Linked DNA regions of Coturnix japonica. The main gene of each other region encodes a partner of the protein of the gene in region 2 in a complex. Links are inferred from orthologs where the notes say so. Each region holds a gene or a part of one and is shown on either strand. Other genes may lie near its edges. The genes, in order: WDR48, WDR20 and USP46.

Evidence for each region.
Region 1: the proteins of WDR20 (region 2) and WDR48 are in contact, whole or in part, in a crystal structure (PDB 5K1C), measured with the Homo sapiens proteins. The link is inferred for Coturnix japonica from reciprocal best matches to the Homo sapiens genes WDR20 and WDR48. Residues at the interface, in NP_653175.2 of Homo sapiens: Arg20, Ser364, Thr384, Glu385, Asp386, Glu524, Pro525, Leu526; in NP_065890.1 of Homo sapiens: Val191, Lys207, Gly208, Gly240, Gln241, Gln242, Arg243, Cys244, Ile245.
Region 3: the proteins of WDR20 (region 2) and USP46 are in contact, whole or in part, in a crystal structure (PDB 6JLQ), measured with the Homo sapiens proteins. The link is inferred for Coturnix japonica from reciprocal best matches to the Homo sapiens genes WDR20 and USP46. Residues at the interface, in NP_653175.2 of Homo sapiens: Asn41, Ser42, Gly44, Arg151, Lys259, Tyr261, Phe262, Gly263, Glu282, Asp283, Asp284, Leu285, His301, Lys304, Ser305, Trp306, Gln374, Asp375, Thr376, Leu509, Arg516, Met517, His533, Glu534, Arg535; in NP_073743.2 of Homo sapiens: Asn205, Thr206, Ser207, Thr209, His210, Arg213, Arg273, Val275, Phe276, Pro277, Glu279, Leu280, Arg281, Phe283, Asp293, Met295, Gln338, Glu342, Tyr344, Thr347, Ser348.

What each region holds. Positions count from the first base shown.
Region 1 is NC_029517.1:4,663,664-4,667,311, reverse strand, and holds part of WDR48 (WD repeat-containing protein 48), read left to right. Parts: intron 1-87; coding exon 88-162; intron 163-550; coding exon 551-653; intron 654-1,122; coding exon 1,123-1,220; intron 1,221-2,053; coding exon 2,054-2,161; intron 2,162-2,493; coding exon 2,494-2,590; intron 2,591-3,386; coding exon 3,387-3,482; intron 3,483-3,648. UniProt on the Homo sapiens protein: Regulator of deubiquitinating complexes, which acts as a strong activator of USP1, USP12 and USP46. Enhances the USP1-mediated deubiquitination of FANCD2; USP1 being almost inactive by itself.
Region 2 is NC_029520.1:45,047,772-45,051,947, reverse strand, and holds the start of WDR20 (WD repeat-containing protein 20), read right to left. Parts: upstream 2,864-4,176; 5' UTR 2,786-2,863; coding exon 2,522-2,785; intron 1-2,521. UniProt on the Homo sapiens protein: Regulator of deubiquitinating complexes. Activates deubiquitinating activity of complexes containing USP12. Anchors at the base of the ubiquitin-contacting loop of USP12 and remotely modulates the catalytic center of the enzyme.
Region 3 is NC_029519.1:59,559,440-59,563,087, reverse strand, and holds part of USP46 (ubiquitin carboxyl-terminal hydrolase 46), read right to left. Parts: intron 3,489-3,648; coding exon 3,275-3,488; intron 1,632-3,274; coding exon 1,402-1,631; intron 1-1,401. UniProt on the Homo sapiens protein: Deubiquitinating enzyme that plays a role in behavior, possibly by regulating GABA action. May act by mediating the deubiquitination of GAD1/GAD67.

The DNA.
Region 1 (3,648 bases), on a different chromosome or scaffold from region 2:
TCACAATGAATGCCAGTATATAAGCTGTGCATAAACAGAGCGAAGTTAAATTGAGTGACTGAAAGTAGCTATAATTCCATTATTTAGATGGAACTTGATAGATCAGCTGATCCTCCTCCAGCAATTTGGGTTGCAACGACTAAATCCTCTGTGAATAAATGGGTAAGTGATACATATTTCTTTGAATTACTTTATTATTTTTCTGTCTATGCTGCTTTTATTTATAAAATAGCTAACAATGAATGGTTAATATTTGAATAGCAGCACGAACTGGCACTTGTTAGCCAAGATAACCCTCACACAGAGGGTGGTGATGCACTGTGGAACAGGTTGCCTGAGGAGGCTGTGGATGCTCCATCCCTGAAGGCATTCAAGGCCAGGCTGGATGTGGCTCTGGGCAGCCTGGTCTGGTGGTTGGTGACCCTGCACATAGCAGGGGGGTTGAGATGAGCATTGTGGTTCTTTTCAACCCAGGCCATTCTATGATTCTATAGAAGTGAAGTTTTTAAAATGATTACAAACGTGTCCTTATTTTGTTTGCTTCTTTTAGACTTTGAAGGGAATACATAATTTTAGAGCATCTGGGGACTATGATAATGATTGTACCAATCCTATACCACCCCTATGTACACAGCCTGACCAAGTCATAAAAGGTAAACAGCTGTTTTCCTGAGTGTTTGTGAAATGTTATCATTAGCAGAAATGGTAGATCCTTACGACTAGCTCACATTCTTAGTTATCTGACACTTTGATTACTGAAGGGAAGTCCTTGGCTGTGATTAAGGACTGTTCTATAACAACTTTCTGTGTTGCTCTGCAGCAAATGAAAACAACATTGCTATCACCACTGTTTCCATCAAAAATCCAAAATACAGCATTGTATGTGCATCTACAGAGAAAATTATCTCTATGTTGGGCAAAATCACAATAAATAAAATCGAAGACAGCACAAGTATCATTTATGTAGTATTAGTTATGGTTGAATAACGTTTAGATATTAGTGATTCTTGTGTAATATAGTAAAACCAAAGAACAGTCATTCCTGTCGTTAGTTGGTTTAATTTAGTGTAAAGCTAGACAAAAAGATTAGTGTAGTGACCTTAATTCTTGTTTGTTTGGCAGGAGGTGCTAGTATCATTCAATGCCACATTCTTAATGACAAGAGGCACATATTAACCAAAGACACAAATAATAATGTGGCATACTGGGATGTCTTAAAAGTAAGTACATAATTTTAGATTAAACATCTAATGTTGGATCAGTAATTATTTTGTGGGGTTTTTTTTGTTTGTTTGTTTTTGACATATTATTTTTGGTGTGGGAGTTTCTTCTGGTTGAAAAATAAGTCAGTTTTCTATCCTAAGACAATAAAGCAAAGATGACTTCTCTGAAAGAGGAAAGAACATTATAGAGCCTTTCTGCATCCTAAGAGCTTCTTCTCTCAACATTAGGCTGGATAATAACATCTTCATTTGCTTTAAATTCAGACCCTTAATAGAACACAATCAGTTGTCTTACTGAGTTGCTGACTGTAGTGAAAAAGAAGGGAATGAGAATGAAGAACATGGATTTGTACTGAAAGTGTTTCAGAAGACTTGTAGAAAAGTGAATGTTTTATTTTGGTTTACCACTGGTATATATTTGAGAATAATATTAGGGCCAAAGTCAGGTGCTAATGTTAATTTGGTACCTTCATTTAGTTATTTTCAGCTTTTGTTATTAGGGTTTTCAGCAATTTTTCTTAGATACATCTGCATACATGCTCACTATAGAGATGGGTAACTCACCAAGTCTGAGTGTTGTCTTGTTTAAGATTCACTTTTTCTTTCTTTTCCTTCTCTGTTGGCTTGATAATGTTACCTCAGGAAAAAAAAGTGTTCTTCAATTTATGGTGAAAAACTTGAAGCTTTAACTTGTGTATTCCTATACTAAATTAATTGTGGTGAAATGATAATAATTTTGAGTGTATATGAAAATCAAGTAAAAGGTTTTAAGAGTGGTTATGATTCAACGTGCAGAATTGAGAAATTTCTGTATTCCTTTTTCTGTACAGGCATGTAAAGTTGAAGACCTTGGGAAAGTAGATTTTGAAGAGGAAATCAAGAAGAGATTTAAAATGGTGTATGTGCCAAACTGGTTCTCAGTAGACTTGAAAACTGGGGTGAGATACAAACCCTAAATCTCTTCTTCTGGTGTCATACTTAATTATACTTTGTATACTATTTCTTCACAATGATTATAGTTTGTTCTAAGTTTTGAAGAACTTATCATTTATCTGATGAGCTTGACTTATTTTGAAGCACGTCAATACATTGTACCTCCATTCTTAATAATCTGTATGACTTTTACACTGTAGTGTCAGTTGAAATCCACAAGACTGTTAGGAATTCATTTTTTGCTTTGTATTCCTAGCTGTTCCTTCAGTAAATTTGTAGACTTGTTTAATACAATACAACTATTGCATTTTTCTTGCTCATGGTCTTTTTCCAACAGATGCTGACAATTACATTGGATGAAAGCGACTGCTTTGCAGCCTGGGTTTCAGCAAAAGATGCTGGATTCAGCAGTCCAGATGGTTCTGATCCAAAATGTACGTTTTTACTAGTATTGCTCTTTCACTGAAATATAAAATCAAAACAAATTCCGGTACTTACATTACAGAATGTTTGTTGGATAAGTCAGTTGTTGTCTGGGTTTTAGAGAGAGATTTCCTTGAGACTAAATTTTGACAAGTTTTCCAAAGAAAATATATACAATTTTATCCTGAAATATTCGAGTAGTTTTTTCTTTTTAACTTGCTGTAGTGGAAATGTTAAGTCATGGCCTGAAAAAGTGATTGAGCACCTGGTGAGAAGGCAGGGCCACCCAACAGCTGAGTGACTGGAAGGGTTGGAGCCAGGATCCACCCCTTCCCACACCTCATATAAGAGCTGGCAGTGGAGGTGAGGGCATCTCTTGCTGGAGATCCCCTGCCTACTTGAGATACCTTGCAAAGGTAAGAAGCTCTTCATTTATGCATCTGTAGCTTCTGTATTTGGGCTTGTTCTCATTTGCTGTAGCCAAAGACTTTGCCACCCTGCTATTATCATCCCATTATAGCATTACACTTGGTTTTAGACATCCAGGAAGGAAGTGGGAGAAAGTGATATTTCAAAATGTAGAGCTATTATCAGCTACTATCAGAATGTTGAATTAAGTGATTGAACCAGCAGCAATGATTCTGTGACTGAAAAATCAGCTTCTAAAAGGTTATAGCCTGCAGTTTTGAGTTTGTGATAAGCAGATGTCTGTGCCCATAACTAGTTTGCTTGGATCCGTAGATCAAATGTAGGATGTTTTAAGTCAGTGTTTTTGATGTAACTGAAGTTCTTGCTGTGTCTTGACAGTGAACCTTGGAGGGCTTCTATTGCAAGCGCTTCTGGAGTACTGGCCTAGAACACACATCAATCCAATGGATGAGGAAGAAAACGAAATAAATCACAGTTAGTGTTTGAATGTTTTCTTTCTTTGAGATATGCTCTTACATTTTTATTGTTCTGTTTCTTTAACAGTTACAGCTTGATTTGCTGTCTTACAGTTCTCCATGCATCATGGCTTTTAATGTAATTTACTGCCTTTGAAATTGTTTTGTGTCAAAAGGTGCTGAAC
Region 2 (4,176 bases):
AGCATCAGACAGACACTCCTCCTTCAAAGTCCTGGTGATTCGTTCACTCATTTTATTAAAAATATAACACTTAAAGTTTGCTCCTGTTCTTGCTCTGGAAAAGTAAAATAAAAGACACAGTCTTAGCTACCTGACACAGCACTAACTTCAACTTGTACTCTACTATCTTAACAGCTTCACCAACATGAAAATTATACTCTGAAAGTTATTACGGAACATTTTAAAGAGACACCTCAGTAACGGTGAAATAACTTAAAAGAGAAGTTGTTAACATTTGTATTATGCAGAGGGTCACAAATGTTTTGGTCTTCAGAGGAGCAAGTCCCTCCCCTGGCTCCACTGCCAAGCAAAGGAAGACATGCATAGTTCGTCCAGTTTAAGATGGACTTACATACTATCAATGTAGGTAGCAGTTGCTCCTTCCTGCAACTATAGCCAGAAAATAGGTAACCTTTTACATTAGAAAACTCCAATCATCAGTTGAAAGTGTCAGCCCCTTCTTCTCTCAACTCTGCACATAGACAAAAGCATCTTTCAAATGAATAGTTTCAAAATAAATTCCAAAGAAACAACCATTACAAGTTAAAGACAGCCCACCTTTTCTAGTCTGATTTTAAACACTTTCCTTAGCTTATTCCAGCTATTTCTCAAGATTAATTTTACAGAATTTAGCATATTACAGAAAAAGATTTAAGTATATTTTCATTTGTCGGCATTTTAAGAGCTGAGTGAAATGAATTCTGAACAATGCATACATTTTATATATTATATATATATATATATATATAATTTTATATTACTATGAGGAAAATAACATGCAATGCTATAACAGGTATATCACAAAGCTCTTACGTTCACAATCTGACAAACTAACATTTTCTCCATTACTGTGTAGCACAAAAGCAGCTTTTAGCAGCCAGAAAAAAAAATATATTGAAACATTAATCTCAAAATCAATTCTACAATTTGAAAAGTTACTCAGTCCCCTATTTCCAGTGCAGTCCCAAGCTTCAGATTTCAATTCTCTTTATTTTAAGCGTGGCAAGAGATGATTAAGACAATATGCAAGAATCACACCTACCATTGCCACACTACGTAAAGGCCTGTTCTGTAACACGCAAGAGAACTCCGCGGTTACTTTGTATGGAAAAACACAAGCTCAGGATATAAGAACACAAACATGACAATAGTTTAAATACTTGATTTTCAGAGATATTGTCACAATATCTTGTAAACAGTAAAGACAGCAAATGCTTAGAAAACGTTTGATATCTCATGACACGCTTCAAGAAATATTGACTAAGTGTTACTTAAGACAACTAGGTTAAGAGAACTCACTACAGTGCAAAACCAAGTCCCAGACCATTATACAGAACATATCAGATCTGTCAAGTCACAGTAAGCAGATAATGAGGTAGATTTAATTCTCCTGTAGATGCTTCTATTTTGCAGAGGAGCAGTGATTTGGGTGTTTGCTTAGCAGCCTGCAGACTCTGTTATGTAGCCTCACCTACAGGCTTCCTGCACAGTCCAGGGTGCATCACCAGCCCTCCACCTACTTAGTCCATGTTGTATGTTGGACTAAAGGCAGGGAGGCTTGAAAGGACTCACCTTAAGGGAGCTAAGTTTCAAGTATACGAGATAACAAACACCCATTTCTTGAAACATAAATCAGAAGCCTAACAATCATTACATCTGTGTTTTCATATATTGAGTGACACACGTTCATACTGTATGACAAGTTCCAAATGCTCTTCTAAATGCCATAAAGACAACGACCCTAAGAAACAACTAGTAGAAAGGATTTATTCATAAACACGATGACCTGAAACATCAAACGCATAAACTATAAGTCCCTCATCAAACGTTAACCATTAAAGAGTCTATCTCAAGTCGCACCAATGAGCGTCTTCCGTAAAAACAACTTTCTCTGCGTTAATTACCTGACATTTAAAACTCAGCTCTCTAGACTGCTCCCATTTAAGAACAACCCTGAAATCAGCCTGCACTTCAAAGGTATGAGACAGGCCTAATATGACAGCAAATCCTGCAGCCCTCCGCCCGAAGCTCGGCAGCCTTTCTCTGCCCTAACCGCGGGGATTTGACACCGCCGTAATCACGGCGGGCATTAGCTCCCAGCAACCTCCGACCTGAAGCAGCAAGTGAAGGAGGCTCGCAGTCCCCTTCGCTGTCGGAAACCCTGCCCCCATTCCTGCACAGCGAGCAAGGCCCAAGCGATCCCACCCCTCCCCACCTCCCCACGCACCTACGGGTGCGACACGGAACGTGCCATACCCCCCGGTAAGCAGCGGGCTCCAGCCTCCTGCCCGGCCCTACGCTCCCCCTGCCCCAGCGGCTGAGCGTGCAGCGCCGTGCCGGGCCGTGCCGCCGTCACCCCGCGGTCCCGCCGCCCCCCGCCCACGACGCGGCCCCGCGGCCCCTCGGCGGGCGGCCCCACAGCGGGCGGGTGGGCGGCGCGGAGGCCCCTGAGCCCCACAGCGCGGCGGGCGAGCCCCGGTACCTTGCGGACCCCCTTGTAGATGTAGAAGTAGAGCTCCCGGCCCACATTGAAGCAGAGCCGGTCCCCGTTGCCGCTCTGGTCGTTGACGTTGACGAAGGAAACGCGGACCGGGTTGGAGCCCTGCGAGTTGAAGGGCACCCGGTTCGGCCGGCTGTACTCCGAGTGGCTCAGCAGCTTGTACAGCCCCTCCCGGGTGGTGAACTGGGTCTTAATCTCGTTCATCTCCTTCCCTCCTCCCTCCGCCGCCATCTTGGAAAGGAGCATTCATCCTGCCCCAGTGCCCGGATGTAGCTCCACTGCGCAAACGCCGCCGCCGCCGGCGCTCGCTCGGCGCTGCGCGGAGCCGGCCACGCAAACGGCGTAAGGGGGAGGAGCGGCCGCCGCTGTTTACTGCGCCTCCGCGCATGCGCCGGGCGGCCTGTGCCTGGGCGGGACTGGGCGGGGAGGGGCGGGGCTGGCGGGAAGGGGGAGGGGGCGCTCCGTGAAGGGGCGCTCAAGATGGCGGCGGCGAGAAGGGGGAGTACAGGGGGTTTGTGTAGGAGCTGCCTGTGTTGGAGCGGTGAAAAGGGAATAAATATCAACGCGCAGCCGTAGGTGGATGTTTCCAGTCGACCCACCGCTGTCCCGATTCTATGGTTCTATAAAGGCAGGCTGTGCCTAAGGTGCCAGGCTGGGGAGTTGGCCCCGCTGAGCGTTTGTTAACTGGAAAAACGGGTTGTCACGTAAACCACGTTGTTGTGAAGCAGGTCAATGTCCTCCTCTGTGTGAGGGATGAAGTGGAACGGGCTGAAAGGGTTATTTTCCCCAGGGAGGCAAGGCTGTGCCTTCTGGTAACTGCATCAGCCTTGTGGTTGGCTTAAACTAATCAGAGACTGATCTCTAGTGTAGAAATGCATCTGACCTCTCTGTCTTTGGGTACCTATTTCCATTGCCTCCCTTGAATCAGTTCCAGTAATCATGCAACCAAAGGGTGAGTCAGATCAGCCTGAGAAGCGCCCTGCATGCAGAAATGAGAAGCAAGTTGTTGGTTGGCAACCGAGCTGATCCCATCATCGCAGCTGCTAGAGCCAAAATAAGGGAGAAGTTAGAAGTGTGCAGCTGTGGGAAGAGCAGCACAGTCAGACTGCCTTGTAACAATGTGCTTTCAAGGTTATTTCACATCTAGCTGATCTGCTCTGATGTAGCTGCTCCAATAGCTGTTGTCCTCCTCCCTCTTTTCTACTGTCAGTACCTACTGCTACATCCTTTACCAGCTGTGTTTTTCTGACCTTGTAATGAGCCATTTCTGAAAGACAAGCAGGTACTCCCTTCAAATATAAGGACAGGTTTTTATGAACAGGTTGGCCCAAGTTGTGGTGGATGCCCTGTTCTTGGAGACACTCAAGGTCAGGCTGGAAAAGGTTTTGAGCACCTTATTGAGCTGTAGATGTCCCTGTTTGTTGCAGTGGAGTTGGACTAGATGACCTTTGCAAGTCTCTTCCAACTAATTTGATTCTGTGATTCAAAGGTGAAATGACTTAAATGAGAAATGTGTAAGGCAGAGGGGACAGGAAATGCAGAGCAGGAGGGAAGTGAGACCTTGCCTTCTTTCCATTGGTTCAATCACAGAAGCCCACTCAGACTCCTGAGGTCTAATGCTTATTTTCAGATCAGTT
Region 3 (3,648 bases), on a different chromosome or scaffold from region 2:
TATTGTTTCCCAAAGATTTCGAGGTACCATAATAAAAGAAAAACATAAACAACTGTAGAAATATACTGGGCAGAACACCATATTTCTGCATTCAGAGGAAGCTTAAGACATGCTTTCCTACAGCAGCAGCACTTTGTTCATTACAGTTTGACTGAGCAAACATAGGATGTTAATTGAGAACCAGGCCACAAATGTTTGAAGAAGCTTGTCTGTCAAAAAAATCCTATCATTCCACTTTTTTTTAAGTCTTGCTACTACTCTGTGAGCTATCATAATAGAAATATACTAAAGAATTAATTTTCAGTCTCTTCCTCTCACATTTTCTCTGTGACAGCCTTGTTCCAGATTTGGTCCACCCCATTTCCCAAACTGATTGTCACTTTATCACTCTTCCCTGTCCCTGAACACAAGCTCCCAAGAAGTCATTTTCTTGGAGTACAGTGTTATCATTTATGATTAAAGAATATCAGGATATGTTCTTCTAGACTTTTATCTCACCTAAATTTGGCTGCCTAGAGATAGACATTAAACTTCAGCCTGCTGTTGGAAGATGATTTCTCTGGGCACCTCCTTCCACCTTCATGCAGATAATCTAAAGCTGTGTTTTCTTTAGAAAAGTTCCACAGTAGCAATACTAGTCTGAGTTGGAAACATTGTTCTTAGGAGAGATCAGTTTGTTGGCCCGATTTACAACACTGCTGCACAAACAATTGCAACAGCTCAGTGCAAGGACTGGAATGAGAACAAGCTGTACTGTGTAGATGGAATACCTGATACTGCTCAGACTTTTATCTCACAGAACAGCCTGGAGACAGATGGAGAGAGATTCCTGAAGAAGATCCTTTGCAAACTCTATCAGCTATAGAAGGTGCTGAGAAAACTAGTTCATCCTTGACACCTCCCTTTCACAAAGCAAAAGTTAGGTAAGATTTGCAAACTAAGTTGCAATCTTCTGAGACTTCAAATATAAGAGACTTCCACCATTCTTTTAAGAATGTTTCAGAAGACAAAAGAACACATACGGTTTGTTAATAATAAATCCTTTGTCAGCCACATTCTTCAAAATGAATGAATGCAAATCCATCTTAATTTTCCACTGGTTCTTGGAATAACAATGCAAATACCTTCTCCTGAAGTTACAGTGGTAGAGAAGGATACCGATTAATTAGCAGGGGTTCTAAGTGTAGAGTTACATGTTATGACAGCCAGACTTGGCAAAGGCTAGCCAAGAAACACCTAGAAAAATAAATTTTTAGAAAAGAATATACTCACTTCAAGAAGTAAAGTCTACAGGAATATCCACAATTCTCAGATGTCTGAAAAGATTCATATATTATACATATAAAATGTATCTATCTATTAAAGGGCAACAACCAAAAAACAATCTATCCCAATGCTTACGGTTTCACAGTTCAAACATCTAGTTTCGTTAGTCAGTGTTCCCTGAAAAATCTCATGCACCCAGGTGAGTTCTTGCTTATTGTTCTCTTCAGCTTCGTTCATGTTGCCATTTTTCAGCTTCCCGTTTTGCTTCTCCTGTTTCTTCTCCTCCTGCAAAATGTCGGCGATTGTATTCAGCAAGTAATTTAAAAACTCGTGGGCATCCTGCTGCATGTAGTTGTCAAAGAGATCTGTGAAGAAGAGAGTCAAGATTTCTACAGCTCAGTATACCTTTTATTTCAAGAAATCAAACTAAAACCACTGTTTTCCGAATCCTTGCTCAGCAAAATACTTAGAATTGTGCCAAAGAAAAGTACACTGGATTCAGAGAAGCTGCTTTGAGGGAAGGCTTCATCTCACATAATTTTAGTGTGTCTAAAAGACCAGGGTTGTATTTGGAGTAAGCTGTGTAGGCTCCCATTACAGTCAGTGAAGAAAGCAAGAGGGTGGTCCTCAGTGCAGCCAACTATCTGTGCCCACTGTACAAGAAAATCTGTGACTACAAAGGCAACTTACATTCATTCTTTACACCCACTGCTTAACATTAGGCATTACTGATTCCCACCCATACATTCTACATCACTGAGTTTGGACAGTGCAACACTTGGCTGGGGAAAATGAAGATGCTGGATGCAAACATATAGTATTAATAATAATGTCATCTGACAAAGCTTATTTTTCACACACAAGTCTGATGAGGACAGACTTCTCTTTCATACAAAATGCTTTCTGGAGCATAGGCTACCCCAGTGGTGATGAAAAACAGGCTTCTTCCCTAGTGGAGGCTTAACTTGCCCACCATGCTGAAGAAAAACAATTTGCATTCCCAAGAAATGTGTGTTTTTATTCCTCTACTCCTGGAAAAAGCCCACATGGATTTCCTCATAAATACTGTACAGTTCTCAGCTTTGCAGCAGCCAGCCTGAACACAGAAGCACATTAATATATCCCAAATCTGGCCCTAATTTGAAAAAGCTGAAAACATAAGACCCGGTCCCAAAAGGTGATCCCAGCAGTGTAGGGGCATTTATCACTAAGATGATTTGGAGCTGACTTTGTCACTGTTTACAATGCCTGCTTTGCAATGGACAGTCTGCCCATTTACATGCTGTCACCAGGAGGCAATTTTTCCCAGGTGTTAACTCACAATTCTTTCTTCTCTTCATTCAAAGCTCCCTTGTTTCCAAGCACAACACCCACACTGATATGAATCCAGGCTGAAAAGGAACTGTGTGGCAGGCTTCCTTACTTCAAGACATTCCTACCATCCCTTAGGAAGAAACACTAAAAGATCAGGCATATACTGTTGCCAGTGTGGTGCTCAAAAAGGGGCTGATGCTTTGCAAAGTCAGACTGCACCCAATGCTCCTAGGAACAACAGCAGTGGCTGACATGCAGTCCACTGAAAAACCCCCCAAACACATTTTCCTGCCCTCCAGGGTGTTTTGGGCTTGTAAATGCCTGTAGCCCTAGCAGGCCACAATGCTTTAGTACTGCCAGCTGCCCGCAGCGTTTCTCTCTGCCATGCCACATTAAAAGTTAGAAAAAAACTGGGGCAGAATGCCACCCTCTTCCCAGCCTTAGCTGACTGCTTAGTGTGATCTATCATACCGTGCACTAAATGACCTCTGAGAACTCAGGAAATCTGGCGTAGCTATTTCAAGCATAACACTGAGTAACAGCTACTATAATATTAGTATCTAAAACCAAAAAACTGCTAAAAGTCCTTTCCAGACCTAACCTGACCACCTGACTAATATGACCACCTTACCCAATGTTTAGATTTCCCTGATCAGCTTACAGATATCTAAGAGAATTCCAGTTCCACACTTACCGTTCTCTTTTCGTAACCTTGATATGAACTTCTTTGGTGGAATAACTCCGACTTTCTTCTTCTGAGTAGCAATACTGTGGAAAAGATCTGCCAGGCAAGTCAAGAGGTTTTCCTTCTTTTTCTGTTGGGCCTTGTATGATAACACATTTTCCCGAAATGGCCGGCAGAAATACAATGCCTGCAGCACGGAGTTACAGTAGCAGGTGTTTCCAAACTGCCATGTAAAAGCAAAAACAATCTTAATCTCTGTACATCACAAGAAACTACTCAACATCTGTCTTCTGTGACACAGCCATTTTGCCAGGTGGCTGCTGTAGGAATATATTTCCACACCCATCCCAACAATGCATAGGAAAACACGTGAAATTATGGTG